3 linked regions of the Saccharomyces cerevisiae S288C genome follow. The protein of the gene in region 1 interacts with the protein of each later gene in a biochemical or structural test. Each region holds a gene or a part of one and is shown in the gene's direction. Other genes may lie near its edges. The genes, in order: VPS21, VPS3 and VPS8.

Region 1 (4,022 bases):
GCGACCAATTGCATACATTTTTATTTTCTACTTTAAAACTCAGTAATGAGCAGTTACCGGCCCTTCATTATGTAGAAAAACAGGATTCACTTCTTTCTACACAAGATACAAAAAAGAAAAAAAGGATCGATTGGAGGGTAAACGAAATCGTGTGATAGGCAGGAAAAGAAACATCTATTGCTACTTTAATTGAATTTGTGCTCTACTGAAATTTTTCAACAGAAGAAGTGCTTTTACTTCTCTCAATCTCTCCATGTCTCCCTTAACTAGAACCGTAGCTATAAAGAAAACGGTTAAGGTTCTATCTAAATGTCAATCTGGTAGAGAATACACACAGAAGTTTCTCCAACGTGCATATTCAACATCACATGCCAACAGCACATACTATTCAAGGACAAAGCTATTCATATCATCACATTCTAAAGCTCTAAACATTGCTCTACTAAGCGGGTCCCTACTGTTGACCTACTCCTACTATTCCCCTAAAAAGATCCTCTCCCTTGATACAATTAACGGAATAAAAGATTATTCTACAAATACTAGTGGTAACATTAACATGCCGTCACCTAATCCAAAAGGAACAGAGACACAAAAGAGTCAACGGTCTCAGAATGACCAATCTGTTCTTATCTTGAACGATTCTAAAATAGAGGCTAAACTACATGATAGAGAGGAAAGCCATTTTGTTAACCGTGGCACTGGTATATTCAGGTATGATGTGGCACAGTTGCCCTCTAACCATCCAATAGAAGACGATCACGTAGAACAAATCATTACCATTCCGATAGAAAGTGAGGATGGCAAGTCCATAGAGAAGGATTTGTATTTTTTTGGAATTTTTGATGGACATGGTGGTCCTTTCACTTCGGAAAAATTATCTAAAGATCTAGTCCGTTATGTAGCGTATCAATTAGGTCAGGTATATGACCAGAACAAAACGGTTTTCCATTCCGACCCCAACCAATTAATCGATTCTGCAATTTCGAAAGGTTTTTTGAAACTAGATAATGATCTTGTAATCGAATCGTTCAGGAAGCTGTTTCAAGATCCAAACAACACAAATATTGCAAACACTTTACCAGCGATTTCTGGTTCTTGTGCACTATTAAGTTTATACAACTCCACTAACTCAATTTTGAAAGTGGCTGTCACTGGAGACTCAAGGGCTTTAATTTGTGGTTTGGACAACGAGGGCAATTGGACGGTAAAGTCGCTATCCACCGACCAGACCGGTGATAATTTGGATGAAGTACGGAGAATTAGGAAAGAACATCCAGGAGAACCAAACGTTATAAGAAACGGAAGAATATTGGGTTCATTACAACCATCCAGGGCATTTGGAGACTATCGCTACAAGATCAAAGAAGTCGATGGAAAACCATTATCGGATTTGCCTGAAGTTGCCAAACTTTATTTTAGAAGAGAGCCAAGGGATTTCAAGACACCCCCATATGTCACTGCGGAACCAGTGATTACTTCTGCCAAAATTGGTGAGAACACTAAATTTATGGTGATGGGTTCGGATGGTTTATTCGAATTACTAACTAATGAAGAAATTGCTTCCTTGGTTATCAGGTGGATGGATAAAAATATGAATCTGGCACCTGTGAAGGCAGAACCGGGGAAATTACCAAAAGTTATCGATGTATCTGAAGACAAGGAAGCACAAAGACCGGCATTCAGGTACAAGGATAATAATTCGAGCTCACCATCAGGATCAAACCCAGAGTATCTTATTGAAGACAAAAACGTCGCCACTCATTTAATTAGAAATGCATTAAGTGCGGGCGGAAGAAAAGAATATGTATCGGCATTGGTAAGTATACCATCGCCGATGAGTAGAAGATACAGAGATGACTTGACAGTAACAGTGGCGTTCTTTGGTGATTCTGGAACACCCTCAATTGTCTCCAATGCTACTTCAATAGTTATGAACCCGGAGGCAACAACAAAGCCAAAACCTAGATTATGACGATATAAACTTATGCTGAGGTAGGTATATACCAGAGGATTTATTTTATAGATATTAGTCTGCTGATTATCTAGTTTCTTGTCACCTCATACGTGTTTTTTTTTTTTTTGGTTTTCTCGGTTTGCATTATGGGGCTTTTTGCTAAAACAATATCCCCGAAAAGACAAAGAAAGAGAAGTGAGGTGAAAATACGAGCAGCTTATCTTATAAAAGTGGCAACGATTTTAAAAATAAAAAGCAAGATCGTCGACTTATCTAAGCTATAAAAAAATATCCCTTTTATCACACAAAAAAATGAACACATCAGTCACTTCCATAAAGTTGGTACTGTTGGGTGAGGCAGCAGTTGGTAAATCGTCAATAGTCCTAAGGTTTGTATCTAATGATTTTGCCGAAAATAAGGAGCCCACCATTGGTGCAGCATTCCTCACTCAAAGAGTTACTATAAATGAACATACTGTTAAGTTTGAAATATGGGACACTGCTGGGCAAGAGAGATTTGCATCTTTAGCACCTATGTACTATAGAAACGCACAAGCTGCTCTTGTAGTATACGACGTTACAAAACCACAATCCTTTATTAAAGCGCGCCACTGGGTTAAGGAATTACATGAACAGGCATCAAAGGATATCATCATTGCGTTAGTTGGTAACAAGATCGATATGCTGCAAGAAGGTGGGGAAAGAAAAGTCGCAAGGGAAGAAGGTGAAAAGCTAGCGGAAGAAAAGGGCTTGTTGTTCTTTGAAACAAGTGCAAAGACAGGAGAGAATGTTAACGATGTATTTTTGGGAATCGGTGAAAAGATACCACTGAAGACGGCTGAAGAGCAAAATAGTGCAAGTAACGAACGTGAGTCGAACAATCAAAGAGTGGATTTGAACGCTGCTAATGATGGGACCAGCGCAAACAGTGCTTGCAGTTGTTAGAGAGGGGAAAATAAATATATATAAAAAAAAAGTCTGGGCAAATTGAGATAAATAGATCTTCAAAACGGGAAAGATGAAAGTCATAATTTATCGTACCTAGAAAGGAGAGGGAGTTTTCATTTTTTACCGTAATCGTTGTTTTTCTTTTCTTCTTATAATTTGTAAATTTTTTAACTGCATTAGATCATTATATTATCTTTCAAAACGCCAGTCGTTTTTATTAGACCTTTATATACGTTTCAAAGTGGTTTGTACACGTTAGTTTAGTTAAACTTTTGTTTTCATGTAGACCAAAATATAAACTTATTTTATGCCGAAAATCGGGAGATGGATTAGTTAATATTGTAAATAATGATAAATTAAAGGAACATTAAATTTACAAAGTTGCAATGAGGAGCAATATATATATATATATATGGATTTCTGAGAAATTAATTAAGCAGTATTTGAACACATGTCGTTTACTCTTTCTTATCCTTTATGTCTAATTTTTCGAGTAGATCGGTAATTACAGCTGTCAAGTTTTCCACTTTCTTAGTGAGCTCTTTGACTTCATCTTTATCTTCACCAGCATCATCTTCAGTGTCATCGTTATCATACTGTTCGAAGGAGGGACTGCATTTTTTAACGTTTTTATACCACTTCTTAGGGACTTTAAAATGGACATCTTCCTGCTCTGCTGTTCTTTGCAGTTTTAGCGAACGGGAATTCTTTAACTGGGTGGCTCTCATGCCAGAATTTCGGTTATCAGAAAACAAACCGTCATCATCATCCAAGTAGCCATCTGTCAAATCCCATGGAGTATCATATTCATTGGCATCATCGTTTAACCTTTTCATCCTGTTATATTTTATCCTTCTAGCCTCCCGAGTTTCTTTAACAGAAATAAGCAACAAAAATGGGCTGTACACTATTGTCATTACAGTATAGCTCAAATCTTTAGCACGCTTCGGTGGAAGAATACGAAAGATAGGTGTCATGAACACTTCAATTAAGTTCAATGGAGAAACATAGACATCTTCATCAGGTGCTCTAATGTATCTCAACGTCTTTTGTGACATCAAAGCCATGTACTCGTCATCTGCATTGTCAATAACTTTTTGGTACGCAGTCGAATACAAAG
Region 2 (6,098 bases), on another chromosome or scaffold:
GAAGATGCTGTATCCTCTTCATCAGATGATGATGATTTGGATGATTTAAGTACCAGTGACTCTGAAGCAGAAGAAGAAGCTGACGAATTAGATATTTCCGATGACAGTGAGGAACATGAAAATGAGAATGAAGAGAAAGAAGGAAAGGACAAATCTGAAGGAGGTGAAAATGGAAATCACACTGAACAAAGAAAACTGCTAAAAGAAAGGAAAATGCAAAGAAAATCTGGTACCCAAGTGCAACAAATTAAATCCGTCTGGGAAAGATTGCGTGTGAAGACCCCACCTTTACCAAAACAGATTCGTGAAAAACTTTCCAACGAAATCTGGGAGCTATCTAAGGACTGTATCAGTGATCTTGTCTTAAAGCATGATGCTTCCCGTATTGTTCAAACTTTAGTCAAGTATTCGTCCAAAGATCGTCGTGAACAAATTGTCGATGCTTTAAAGGGAAAATTTTATGTTCTAGCCACATCTGCGTACGGTAAGTATCTATTGGTTAAGTTACTGCATTATGGTTCAAGAAGTTCAAGGCAAACTATAATAAATGAATTACACGGTTCTTTGAGAAAATTAATGAGACATCGTGAGGGTGCCTACGTTGTTGAAGATTTATTTGTTCTTTATGCCACACATGAACAAAGACAACAAATGATTAAAGAGTTTTGGGGCTCTGAATATGCTGTATTTAGAGAAACCCACAAAGATTTGACCATTGAGAAAGTTTGTGAAAGTAGCATTGAAAAAAGGAATATTATCGCCAGAAACTTGATTGGTACCATTACCGCATCAGTAGAAAAGGGTTCCACCGGCTTTCAAATTCTACATGCTGCTATGAGAGAATATGTGAAAATAGCCAACGAAAAGGAAATATCTGAAATGATCGAATTGCTTCATGAACAATTCGCTGAATTGGTGCATACTCCAGAAGGTTCAGACGTTGCTTGTACTTTGGTTGCTAGAGCTAACGCCAAGGAAAGAAAGTTAATTTTAAAGGCTTTGAAAAACCACGCCGAAAAATTGATCAAAAATGAGTACGGTAATATTGTCTTCATTACAATTCTGAACTGTGTTGACGATACAGTTTTAGTATTCAAGACTTTCAGTCCTACTGTTAAGGAACATTTGCAAGAATTCATAATTGATAAGTTTGGTAGAAGGCCTTGGTTATACATACTATTAGGTTTGGACGGTAAGTATTTCTCACCTATCGTCAAGAATGAATTATTGAGATACATTGAACTGTCCAAAGCCACCTCTAAGAAGGATCCTTTACAAAGAAGGCACGAACTTTTGTCAAAATTCGCCCCCATGTTTTTAAGCACTATATCAAAAGATTATTCCAGTATATTGACAGAGAATCTAGGCTGTCAGTTCATTGCCGAAGTTCTAATAAACGATGAGTTGTACGCGCAGCTGAATGAAAAAGACCAAGAAAAGTATCAACAGGTCTTAAACAACATTTTAACTACTTTTAAGGGTGACATAACCGAAGAAGAGCACCCAATACATAGAGCATTTTCTACTAGACTATTAAAGGCACTAATTCAAGGTGGTAAATGGAATAACAAAGAAAAAAAGGTCATACCATTAAAAAATGTTCAAGGCTTAGGCGTTCCATTTGCTGAAAAGTTATACGATGAAATTATTGACTCCTCCAACTTGTTAGAATGGATTAATAACGCTGATAGTTCATTTACAATTGTTGCACTGTATGAAACGTTAAAAGATCAAAAAGAAGGGAAACCATTTTTGAAGGATTTGAGAGGAGTTCAGAGTAAAATCACCACTGATGAAAGTAACAAAGGCTCTCAGCTTTTGGCTAAATTGTTAAAATAAATTTTCTACGATAAAGTCACAATATTTGGTATATAAGCATCTGTACAATAATAATAAAAAGCTTGATCTCATTGAAAGTGCAGGTATATATAATTGTCTCCTAAAAACTCCTTACATCGCATAATATCTGTTGAAGATACCGTTCCGATGGGAAAAAAAGGCAAGTTTAACTGGAAATATTCATATGTACTTACTATTTTATAACGACATTAGTGAATCAGAACTATCATAACAGTCAAGGAGACTACCTTTTTTTGGTTGCAACCATAATATTATAGAACCATGGTAAAAAAGAAAACGAATAATGACAAAGGAAAAGAAGTAAAGGAAAATGAAGGAAAGCTCGATATAGATAGCGAATCCTCACCTCACGAAAGAGAAAATGACAAAAAAAAAACAGAAGATGATAGTCTACGTGCAACAGAAAGTGAAGAGACGAATACACATAATGCTAACCCAAATGAAACAGTACGAGCTGATAAATTTTCCCAGGAAGAGAGTCGACCAATCGAAGACAGTCCACATACTGATAAAAACACAGCACAAGAAAGCTGTCAGCCTAGCAGCGCAGAAGATAATGTCATAAATACAGATATTACAAGCTTAAATGAAAAAACCTCCACGAATGATGAACAGGAAAAAGGGTTGCCACTGAAAATAAGCGAAGGTCCTTTTACAATCTCTACCCTATTAGACAATGTACCATCTGACTTGATATACACATGTTGTGAGGCGTATGAGAACCACATATTCTTGGGAACAACTACAGGTGATCTTTTACATTACTTTGAACTTGAACGTGGAAACTATATGCTTGTGTCGCAAACAAAGTTTGATGCAGAATCAAATTCGAAGATAGACAAAATCCTTCTTTTACCTAAAGTAGAAGGCGCACTAATATTATGTGATAACGAACTAGTTTTATTTATTCTCCCAGAATTTGCACCAAGGCCCAACACAACTAGACTTAAAGGTATTAGTGATGTCGTTATTTGTAATTTTTCCCGAAGCTCGAAGGCTTATAGAATATATGCATTTCACGCAGAAGGCGTAAGACTACTCAAAATATCTGCAGATTCATTAGTACTTACCAAAGCTTTTAATTTCAAACTAATAGATAAAGCTTGTGCGCACGAAGAAACATTAATGGTTTCGAAGTTAAATAGTTACGAACTTATAAATCTAAAGTCGTCACAGGTAATTCCATTATTTCGAATAAGTGAGACTGACGAAGACTTAGAACCTATAATAACCAGTTTCAATGAACAGAGTGAATTTTTAGTTTGTTCTGGAGGAGGATCATACGATAGTGGGGCGATGGCCTTAGTGGTAAATCATCATGGCGACATAATAAAAGGAACTATAGTGCTAAAAAATTATCCAAGAAATGTAATTGTTGAGTTTCCCTACATAATCGCTGAGTCTGCTTTCCAGTCGGTTGACATATATTCTGCCTTGCCGAGTGAAAAATCCCAGTTGTTGCAAAGTATAACTACTTCTGGATCGGATTTAAAAATTTCAAAATCTGACAATGTATTCACTAATACCAATAATTCTGAAGAATTCAAAGAAAAAATATTCAATAAGTTGAGACTTGAGCCTCTGACACATAGTGATAATAAATTTAGAATTGAAAGAGAACGCGCCTTTGTTGAAGAGTCTTATGAAGAAAAGACCTCTTTAATCGTTTATAATAATTTAGGGATTCATTTATTAGTTCCAACGCCGATGGTCTTACGTTTTACATCATGTGAAGAGTCCGAAATTGATAATATTGAAGATCAATTGAAAAAGCTTGCGAAGAAGGATTTAACAAAATTTGAGCACATTGAAGCGAAATATTTGATGTCTCTTTTATTGTTTCTAATGACCTTACATTACGATCACATAGAAGATGAGGTAATGAAAAAGTGGTGTGACTTTTCTGACAAAGTTGACATCAGAATATTATTTTATATGTTTGGCTGGAAAGTCTATAGCGAGATCTGGTGCTTCCATGGGTTAATAAATATAGTTGAAAGGTTGAAAAGCTTGAAGCTAACTAACAAATGCGAGAATATTCTAAAAATGCTTCTGATGATGAAGAATGAACTAAAGAAAAAGAATAAAACTGGACTCTTAACGAATGACTTTGATGATATAATGAAAACTATTGATATAACTTTATTCAAATTAAGATTGGAAAAAAAGGAAACTATAACTGTTGATATGTTTGAACGCGAAAGTTACGACGAAATTATCAGAGAGATTAATTTACATGATGATAAACTTCCTAGGATAGAGTTACTAATTGAGATATATAAAGAAAAAGGGGAATATCTTAAAGCACTAAATCTTTTGAGGGAAGCTGGGGATTACATTTCACTAGTTTCATTCATTGAAGAAAATCTCAAAAAACTTCCTGAGGATTATATCAAAGAAAGAATAGCCGATGATCTTCTCCTCACTCTTAAACAAGGCGACGAAAATACTGAGGAATGCGCCATCAAAAAGGTTCTTAAAATATTGGACATGGCATGTATTAATAAAAACGACTTTTTAAACAAAATACCCGCAGAAGAAACATCCCTGAAGGTATCATTCATAGAACAACTCGGTGTCCAAAACAGCAACGATTCCAAATTTCTCTTTAACTATTATTTGGCGAAATTGCGAGAAATAATCAACCAAAGTAACATATGGTCCATTCTTGGAGATTTTATCAAAGAGTACAAAGACGATTTCGCGTATGATAAGACAGATATAACAAATTTTATTCATATCAAATTAAAGCATAGTCTTCAGTGCGAAAATTTTTCCAAATATTATGAAAAATGTGAAAACTTGAAATCGGAAAATGAAAAAGATGATGAGTTTATTAATTTCACCTTCGACGAAATTTCCAAGATCGATAAAGAACACATATTGACCTTGTTATTTTTCCCCAATGAATTAACAAACTGGGTTTCTTCCGAAGAATTGCTGAAAATATATTTGTCATTTAATGATTTCAGAAGTGTAGAAAAATACATAGGCAAGCAGAACTTGGTTGCGGTGATGAAACAATACTTGGACATATCTTCTTTGAATTACTCAGTTGAATTAGTGACTAATTTGCTACAGAGAAATTTTGAACTTTTAGATGATACAGATATTCAATTAAAGATCCTCGAAACTATACCTTCCGTATTTCCCGTACAAACAATATCCGAATTGCTTTTAAAGGTACTTATTAAGTATCAAGAAAAGAAGGAGGAATCTAATTTGCGGAAATGTTTGTTGAAAAATCAAATATCCATTTCTGACGAACTAAGCCGGAATTTTGATAGTCAAGGATAAGAAGAGCCCACCTATTCTTTTTCTGTTCAGGCATACAATTCAAATTTTATACGTACTAGATATTTACAGGTATGTAAGAATGAAATAACGATGTTTGATTTACTGTTGTAATTCAGAAATTGGTTTCATTCCAGAACAAACATCATATACCAATTTCTTTTCCTCGGAGCCCATAACAACAGATTGTAATGATAACCTCACAACTTGACTATTTTGTACGAGCTTACTCACAGTATCTTTAGATTTCGTCAGTTTTTCAAAATCTTTTTTCACATATGGTTTTAAGAGTTGATATTCTCCTGTTACTTGCCTATGAAAATCTTCTGGGTCTTCTTCAATAAGTAAATTCTGCAATTGAGGCTCTTTGGCAAAAATCAAGGAGGATCCTGGTGTATATTTACCAAAGTTTGGCGTGTTTAGGGTGAAATCATGTACTTTGAGGATTCCCAAATTTGGCGATCTGTAAATGGGGTAATTGGATTTTTTCAAGCTATCTAAGGTAAAGTTGACTAATCTGGATTCCTTTGTTGGAAAAACTTGAGGAGTATATTCTAACAAAGATAAAGGAGTGGGCTCTTCTAGTACATATTCTGAACTGACAGGTCTCTTGATAACCTTCTGTAGCTGCTGTTGAGGAGCCTTTCTCCTTTTAGATGCTGTTAAGATATGACTCTTTTTTTGAAACCTTGCTTTAGATTTGGGGGTTCCATTGAAATTAACAGGTTTTTGCTCCATCGACGAATTGAAGACATCAAGTAAATCATCTTCGACTCTCGCATCTCCTTTCAAATTATTTTTGCCATTCTGCATCTTTTTGAACTGTGGCTGCATAACTACTGTATTTCCAGTAGGATTCTTTACAAAAGACGTATTAGCACCTTTATTCCACTGCTGCTTGTTAGCACGAACAGAATCACTAGAACGGTTTTTCAGTCTCATGT
Region 3 (6,455 bases), on another chromosome or scaffold:
CATCAATCCACCCCTTATATAACCTTGAAGTCCTCGAAACGATCAGCTAATCTAAATGGCCCCCCTTCTTTTTGGGTTCTTTCTCTCCCTTTTGCCGCCGATGGAACGTTCTGGAAAAAGAAGAATAATTTAATTACTTTCTCAACTAAAATCTGGAGAAAAAACGCAAATGACAGCTTCTAAACGTTCCGTGTGCTTTCTTTCTAGAATGTTCTGGAAAGTTTACAACAATCCACAAGAACGAAAATGCCGTTGACAATGATGAAACCATCATCCACACACCGCGCACACGTGCTTTATTTCTTTTTCTGAATTTTTTTTTTCCGCCATTTTCAACCAAGGAAATTTTTTTTCTTAGGGCTCAGAACCTGCAGGTGAAGAAGCGCTTTAGAAATCAAAGCACAACGTAACAATTTGTCGACAACCGAGCCTTTGAAGAAAAAATTTTTCACATTGTCGCCTCTAAATAAATAGTTTAAGGTTATCTACCCACTATATTTAGTTGGTTCTTTTTTTTTTCCTTCTACTCTTTATCTTTTTACCTCATGCTTTCTACCTTTCAGCACTGAAGAGTCCAACCGAATATATACACACATAATGGCATCCACCGATTTCTCCAAGATTGAAACTTTGAAACAATTAAACGCTTCTTTGGCTGACAAGTCATACATTGAAGGGTATGTTCCGATTTAGTTTACTTTATAGATCGTTGTTTTTCTTTCTTTTTTTTTTTTCCTATGGTTACATGTAAAGGGAAGTTAACTAATAATGATTACTTTTTTTCGCTTATGTGAATGATGAATTTAATTCTTTGGTCCGTGTTTATGATGGGAAGTAAGACCCCCGATATGAGTGACAAAAGAGATGTGGTTGACTATCACAGTATCTGACGATAGCACAGAGCAGAGTATCATTATTAGTTATCTGTTATTTTTTTTTCCTTTTTTGTTCAAAAAAAGAAAGACAGAGTCTAAAGATTGCATTACAAGAAAAAAGTTCTCATTACTAACAAGCAAAATGTTTTGTTTCTCCTTTTAAAATAGTACTGCTGTTTCTCAAGCTGACGTCACTGTCTTCAAGGCTTTCCAATCTGCTTACCCAGAATTCTCCAGATGGTTCAACCACATCGCTTCCAAGGCCGATGAATTCGACTCTTTCCCAGCTGCCTCTGCTGCCGCTGCCGAAGAAGAAGAAGATGACGATGTCGATTTATTCGGTTCCGACGATGAAGAAGCTGACGCTGAAGCTGAAAAGTTGAAGGCTGAAAGAATTGCCGCATACAACGCTAAGAAGGCTGCTAAGCCAGCTAAGCCAGCTGCTAAGTCCATTGTCACTCTAGATGTCAAGCCATGGGATGATGAAACCAATTTGGAAGAAATGGTTGCTAACGTCAAGGCCATCGAAATGGAAGGTTTGACCTGGGGTGCTCACCAATTTATCCCAATTGGTTTCGGTATCAAGAAGTTGCAAATTAACTGTGTTGTCGAAGATGACAAGGTTTCCTTGGATGACTTGCAACAAAGCATTGAAGAAGACGAAGACCACGTCCAATCTACCGATATTGCTGCTATGCAAAAATTATAAAAGGCTTTTTTATAAACTTTTTATAATTAACATTAAAGCAAAAACAACATTGTAAAGATTAACAAATAAATGAAAAAAACAACGAAATAACTTAGGTTTTAGGCTAAAAAAAACAGAAGGAATTTTGAACGATAAACTTTTCGACTGCACACGAAACATTATTACTAATTTGTGTAACCACTATATAAGGAATCGTGTTTATTAATTGAATTTATTCCGGGAATATTCAAGTTATGTATATCTCTTTTCATATTCTTAAATACACATACTCATAATATCTTGTCGAAAATACGCGGTGTAGGGAGTTATGGTGGATAACTTTTTCACGATTAGAAGAAAAGGAAAATTTCATTATTCGTAGCTTAACATGGCAAAAACGAGAAAGACATATAATCAAAACGTGAGTTTCCTGTGGAAAAAAAAAAAAGGGAACCTCTGGTTACGATGATATACCTGCGTGAAAAAGGACAGTTATTACCAATACATACAAAGGCTTAATAAGTGTAAAATATATATCTGCCGAGACCATTACTCATTACACCTAGAATGGAGCAAAATGGCCTTGACCACGACAGCAGATCTAGCATCGATACGACTATTAATGACACTCAAAAGACTTTCCTAGAATTTAGATCGTATACCCAATTAAGTGAAAAACTGGCATCTAGTTCTTCATATACGGCACCTCCCCTGAACGAAGATGGTCCTAAAGGGGTAGCTTCTGCAGTGTCACAAGGCTCCGAATCCGTAGTCTCATGGACAACTTTAACACACGTATATTCCATCCTGGGTGCTTATGGAGGGCCCACGTGCTTGTATCCGACAGCCACGTATTTTTTGATGGGCACTTCTAAAGGATGCGTACTCATTTTTAATTATAATGAACATTTGCAGACAATCCTAGTGCCGACCTTATCTGAGGACCCTTCTATTCACTCAATAAGAAGTCCAGTGAAATCAATTGTCATATGTTCCGATGGTACTCATGTAGCTGCCTCATACGAGACCGGAAATATATGCATTTGGAACTTGAACGTAGGGTATAGAGTGAAACCCACTTCTGAACCAACAAATGGTATGACCCCAACGCCTGCCTTACCGGCAGTCTTACACATCGATGACCATGTGAACAAGGAAATCACAGGGTTAGACTTTTTTGGTGCTCGGCATACAGCCCTGATTGTTAGTGATAGGACAGGTAAAGTATCACTCTATAACGGTTACAGAAGAGGCTTTTGGCAGTTGGTGTATAATTCAAAAAAAATTTTAGATGTGAACTCTTCCAAGGAGAAATTAATAAGGTCAAAGTTGTCTCCACTAATATCACGGGAGAAAATTTCCACTAATTTGTTGAGTGTACTCACAACTACACATTTTGCCCTTATTTTATTATCGCCACACGTTTCTTTGATGTTTCAAGAAACTGTTGAACCCTCAGTACAAAATTCTCTAGTCGTGAATAGCTCTATTTCATGGACTCAAAACTGTTCCAGGGTTGCTTATTCCGTAAATAATAAAATTTCTGTTATTTCCATATCTTCATCAGACTTCAATGTTCAGTCCGCTAGCCATTCTCCTGAATTTGCAGAATCTATATTATCCATTCAATGGATTGACCAGCTCCTACTTGGTGTTTTAACCATATCGCACCAATTTTTGGTATTGCACCCCCAACATGACTTCAAGATCCTGTTAAGATTGGATTTTCTGATTCACGATTTGATGATCCCACCTAATAAATATTTTGTAATAAGTAGAAGAAGTTTCTACCTGTTAACAAACTACTCATTTAAAATTGGCAAATTTGTGTCTTGGTCAGATATTACTTTAAGACATATTTTGAAAGGCGACTACTTGGGTGCATTGGAGTTCATAGAATCACTTTTGCAACCTTACTGTCCACTGGCAAACTTGTTGAAGCTAGATAATAATACGGAAGAGAGGACTAAGCAACTTATGGAACCATTTTACAATCTGTCCTTGGCTGCCCTAAGGTTTCTTATAAAAAAAGATAATGCCGACTACAATAGGGTTTACCAATTATTAATGGTAGTTGTTCGTGTTTTGCAGCAATCTTCCAAAAAACTAGACTCAATTCCTTCTCTAGACGTCTTTTTGGAACAGGGTCTGGAGTTCTTTGAATTGAAGGACAACGCGGTATATTTTGAAGTTGTAGCAAATATTGTTGCCCAAGGATCAGTTACGTCAATTTCCCCAGTTCTTTTCAGGTCCATAATTGATTACTATGCTAAGGAGGAGAATTTAAAAGTAATTGAAGACTTAATCATCATGTTAAATCCTACTACGCTTGATGTTGATCTTGCCGTCAAACTATGCCAAAAGTATAATTTGTTCGATTTATTAATATATATTTGGAACAAGATCTTTGATGATTATCAAACCCCAGTGGTGGACTTGATATACAGGATTTCTAACCAAAGTGAAAAATGTGTGATCTTCAATGGTCCTCAAGTACCTCCTGAAACGACTATATTTGATTACGTAACGTATATCCTTACTGGCAGGCAATATCCACAAAACTTGTCTATATCACCAAGTGATAAATGCTCCAAAATACAAAGGGAACTTTCAGCATTTATTTTTAGTGGCTTCTCCATAAAATGGCCGTCGAACAGCAATCATAAACTTTACATATGCGAAAATCCAGAAGAAGAGCCAGCATTTCCTTACTTTCACCTTTTATTGAAATCGAATCCGAGTAGGTTCTTAGCAATGCTCAATGAAGTGTTTGAAGCGTCCTTGTTTAACGATGACAATGACATGGTTGCATCAGTTGGAGAAGCAGAATTGGTAAGTAGGCAATATGTTATTGATCTACTATTGGATGCTATGAAAGATACGGGAAATTCAGACAACATCAGGGTACTTGTTGCAATTTTCATTGCAACTAGTATATCAAAATATCCTCAATTTATTAAAGTGTCTAACCAAGCCCTCGACTGCGTTGTTAATACCATATGCTCCTCTAGGGTTCAAGGTATATATGAAATTTCTCAAATAGCTCTGGAGTCGCTTTTACCCTATTATCATTCAAGAACAACAGAAAATTTTATACTGGAACTAAAAGAAAAAAATTTCAATAAAGTTCTTTTCCATATCTATAAAAGTGAAAATAAGTACGCCAGTGCGCTTTCACTTATTTTAGAAACTAAGGACATCGAAAAAGAATATAACACGGACATTGTATCCATAACCGACTACATACTCAAAAAATGCCCACCTGGAAGTTTAGAATGTGGCAAAGTTACTGAAGTTATCGAGACGAACTTTGATCTTCTTCTCTCAAGGATCGGTATCGAAAAATGCGTCACAATTTTTTCTGACTTTGACTATAATCTTCATCAAGAAATCCTGGAAGTAAAGAATGAGGAGACTCAGCAAAAGTATTTGGATAAGCTTTTTTCTACGCCAAATATCAACAATAAGGTCGATAAGCGTTTAAGAAATTTACACATCGAATTGAACTGTAAATACAAGAGCAAAAGGGAAATGATTCTTTGGCTTAATGGTACAGTTCTCAGCAACGCTGAGAGCTTACAAATTCTGGACTTATTGAATCAAGACTCTAATTTTGAAGCTGCAGCTATAATTCACGAACGCTTGGAAAGTTTTAACCTAGCAGTCAGGGATTTATTAAGTTTTATTGAACAATGTCTAAATGAAGGGAAAACAAATATATCTACTTTATTGGAATCTTTGAGGAGGGCCTTTGATGATTGTAATTCTGCTGGTACCGAGAAAAAATCGTGTTGGATATTATTGATTACATTCCTGATCACTCTATATGGGAAATATCCTTCACACGATGAAAGGAAAGATTTATGTAATAAACTACTTCAAGAAGCATTTTTGGGATTGGTTAGGTCCAAGAGTTCCTCTCAGAAGGATTCAGGTGGGGAATTCTGGGAAATAATGTCTTCTGTTCTTGAGCACCAAGACGTTATTTTAATGAAAGTTCAGGATTTAAAGCAACTGCTACTGAATGTTTTTAATACTTATAAATTGGAAAGATCTCTTTCTGAGTTGATTCAAAAGATTATAGAGGATTCTTCGCAAGATCTTGTTCAACAGTATAGAAAATTTCTGAGTGAAGGGTGGTCTATACACACCGACGACTGCGAAATCTGCGGGAAAAAAATATGGGGAGCTGGTCTGGACCCATTACTTTTTCTAGCTTGGGAAAATGTACAGCGCCACCAAGATATGATTAGTGTAGATCTCAAAACTCCCCTTGTCATATTCAAATGTCACCATGGCTTTCACCAGACTTGCCTCGAAAACTTGGCCCAGAAACCCGATGAATATTCTTGTTTAATTTGCCAGACGGAATCTAACCCAAAAATAGTATAACATTTCTAAATATTTAATACAACTTTGGTTACATAAAAGTAAAATTTATACACCTCATTTCATTATGTAGATTCATATATAGAATACCAATTATGATTGACCCAATAGCCATCAAAATCAGTAGTTATTAATACTTGTCTTTCTAGGAGCCATTTGCATATTTCTGATATTTCATGAAGCGAAAGTACTTCACGACACCTAGATTGCAATCTACTCAATGTTATCCCTGGATGAAATATTATTTCGTTAACGACCATAGTAACTACCTGCTTCCATATGTTTGGCCTAATGGAACCAGATCCATTCACCCATAAACGAGAAAATGGTTTGCCCAGTGGAACTTTGACAGCAGACTTCCTTGCTGTATTCAATTTTGTCTGAGAATTGGCATATATAATCAGAGGGGGAGTTAATGTTCGTATTTCAAATCTCCTTGAAGTATACGTTAAAGGTCGAACATTTCTCACCATTGGAATTACATCCATATTCAATAGCTCTCC

What was found.
Region 2: the proteins of VPS21 (region 1) and VPS3 form a complex in vitro, tested with the Saccharomyces cerevisiae proteins (2 studies listed by BioGRID).
Region 3: the proteins of VPS21 (region 1) and VPS8 form a complex in vitro, tested with the Saccharomyces cerevisiae proteins (2 studies listed by BioGRID).

The regions. Positions count from the first base shown.
Region 1 is NC_001147.6:489,073-493,094, reverse strand, and holds VPS21 (Rab family GTPase VPS21), read left to right. Parts: upstream 1-2,266; coding exon 2,267-2,899; downstream 2,900-4,022. Other genes in the region: type 2C protein phosphatase PTC5, read left to right, coding at 254-1,972; YVC1 (Yvc1p), read right to left, coding at 3,361-4,022.
Region 2 is NC_001136.10:1,437,174-1,443,271, reverse strand, and holds VPS3 (CORVET complex subunit VPS3), read left to right. Parts: upstream 1-2,121; coding exon 2,122-5,157; downstream 5,158-6,098. Other genes in the region: PUF6 (Puf6p), read left to right, coding at 1-1,839; mitochondrial 37S ribosomal protein mS46 RSM28, read right to left, coding at 5,257-6,098. UniProt on the Saccharomyces cerevisiae protein: Required for sorting and processing of soluble vacuolar proteins, integrity of vacuolar morphology, efficient segregation of vacuolar material into the bud during the cell cycle, acidification of the vacuolar lumen, and assembly of the vacuolar H(+)-ATPase.
Region 3 is NC_001133.9:141,577-148,031, forward strand, and holds VPS8 (CORVET complex membrane-binding subunit VPS8), read left to right. Parts: upstream 1-2,130; coding exon 2,131-5,955; downstream 5,956-6,455. Other genes in the region: EFB1 (translation elongation factor 1 subunit beta), read left to right, coding at 598-677, 1,044-1,584; transcription factor TFIIIC subunit TFC3, read right to left, coding at 6,018-6,455. UniProt on the Saccharomyces cerevisiae protein: Required for localization and recycling of the CPY sorting receptor (VPS10) to the late-Golgi compartment. Involved in the retention of proteins to the late-Golgi. Plays an integral role in the complex vacuolar protein sorting process.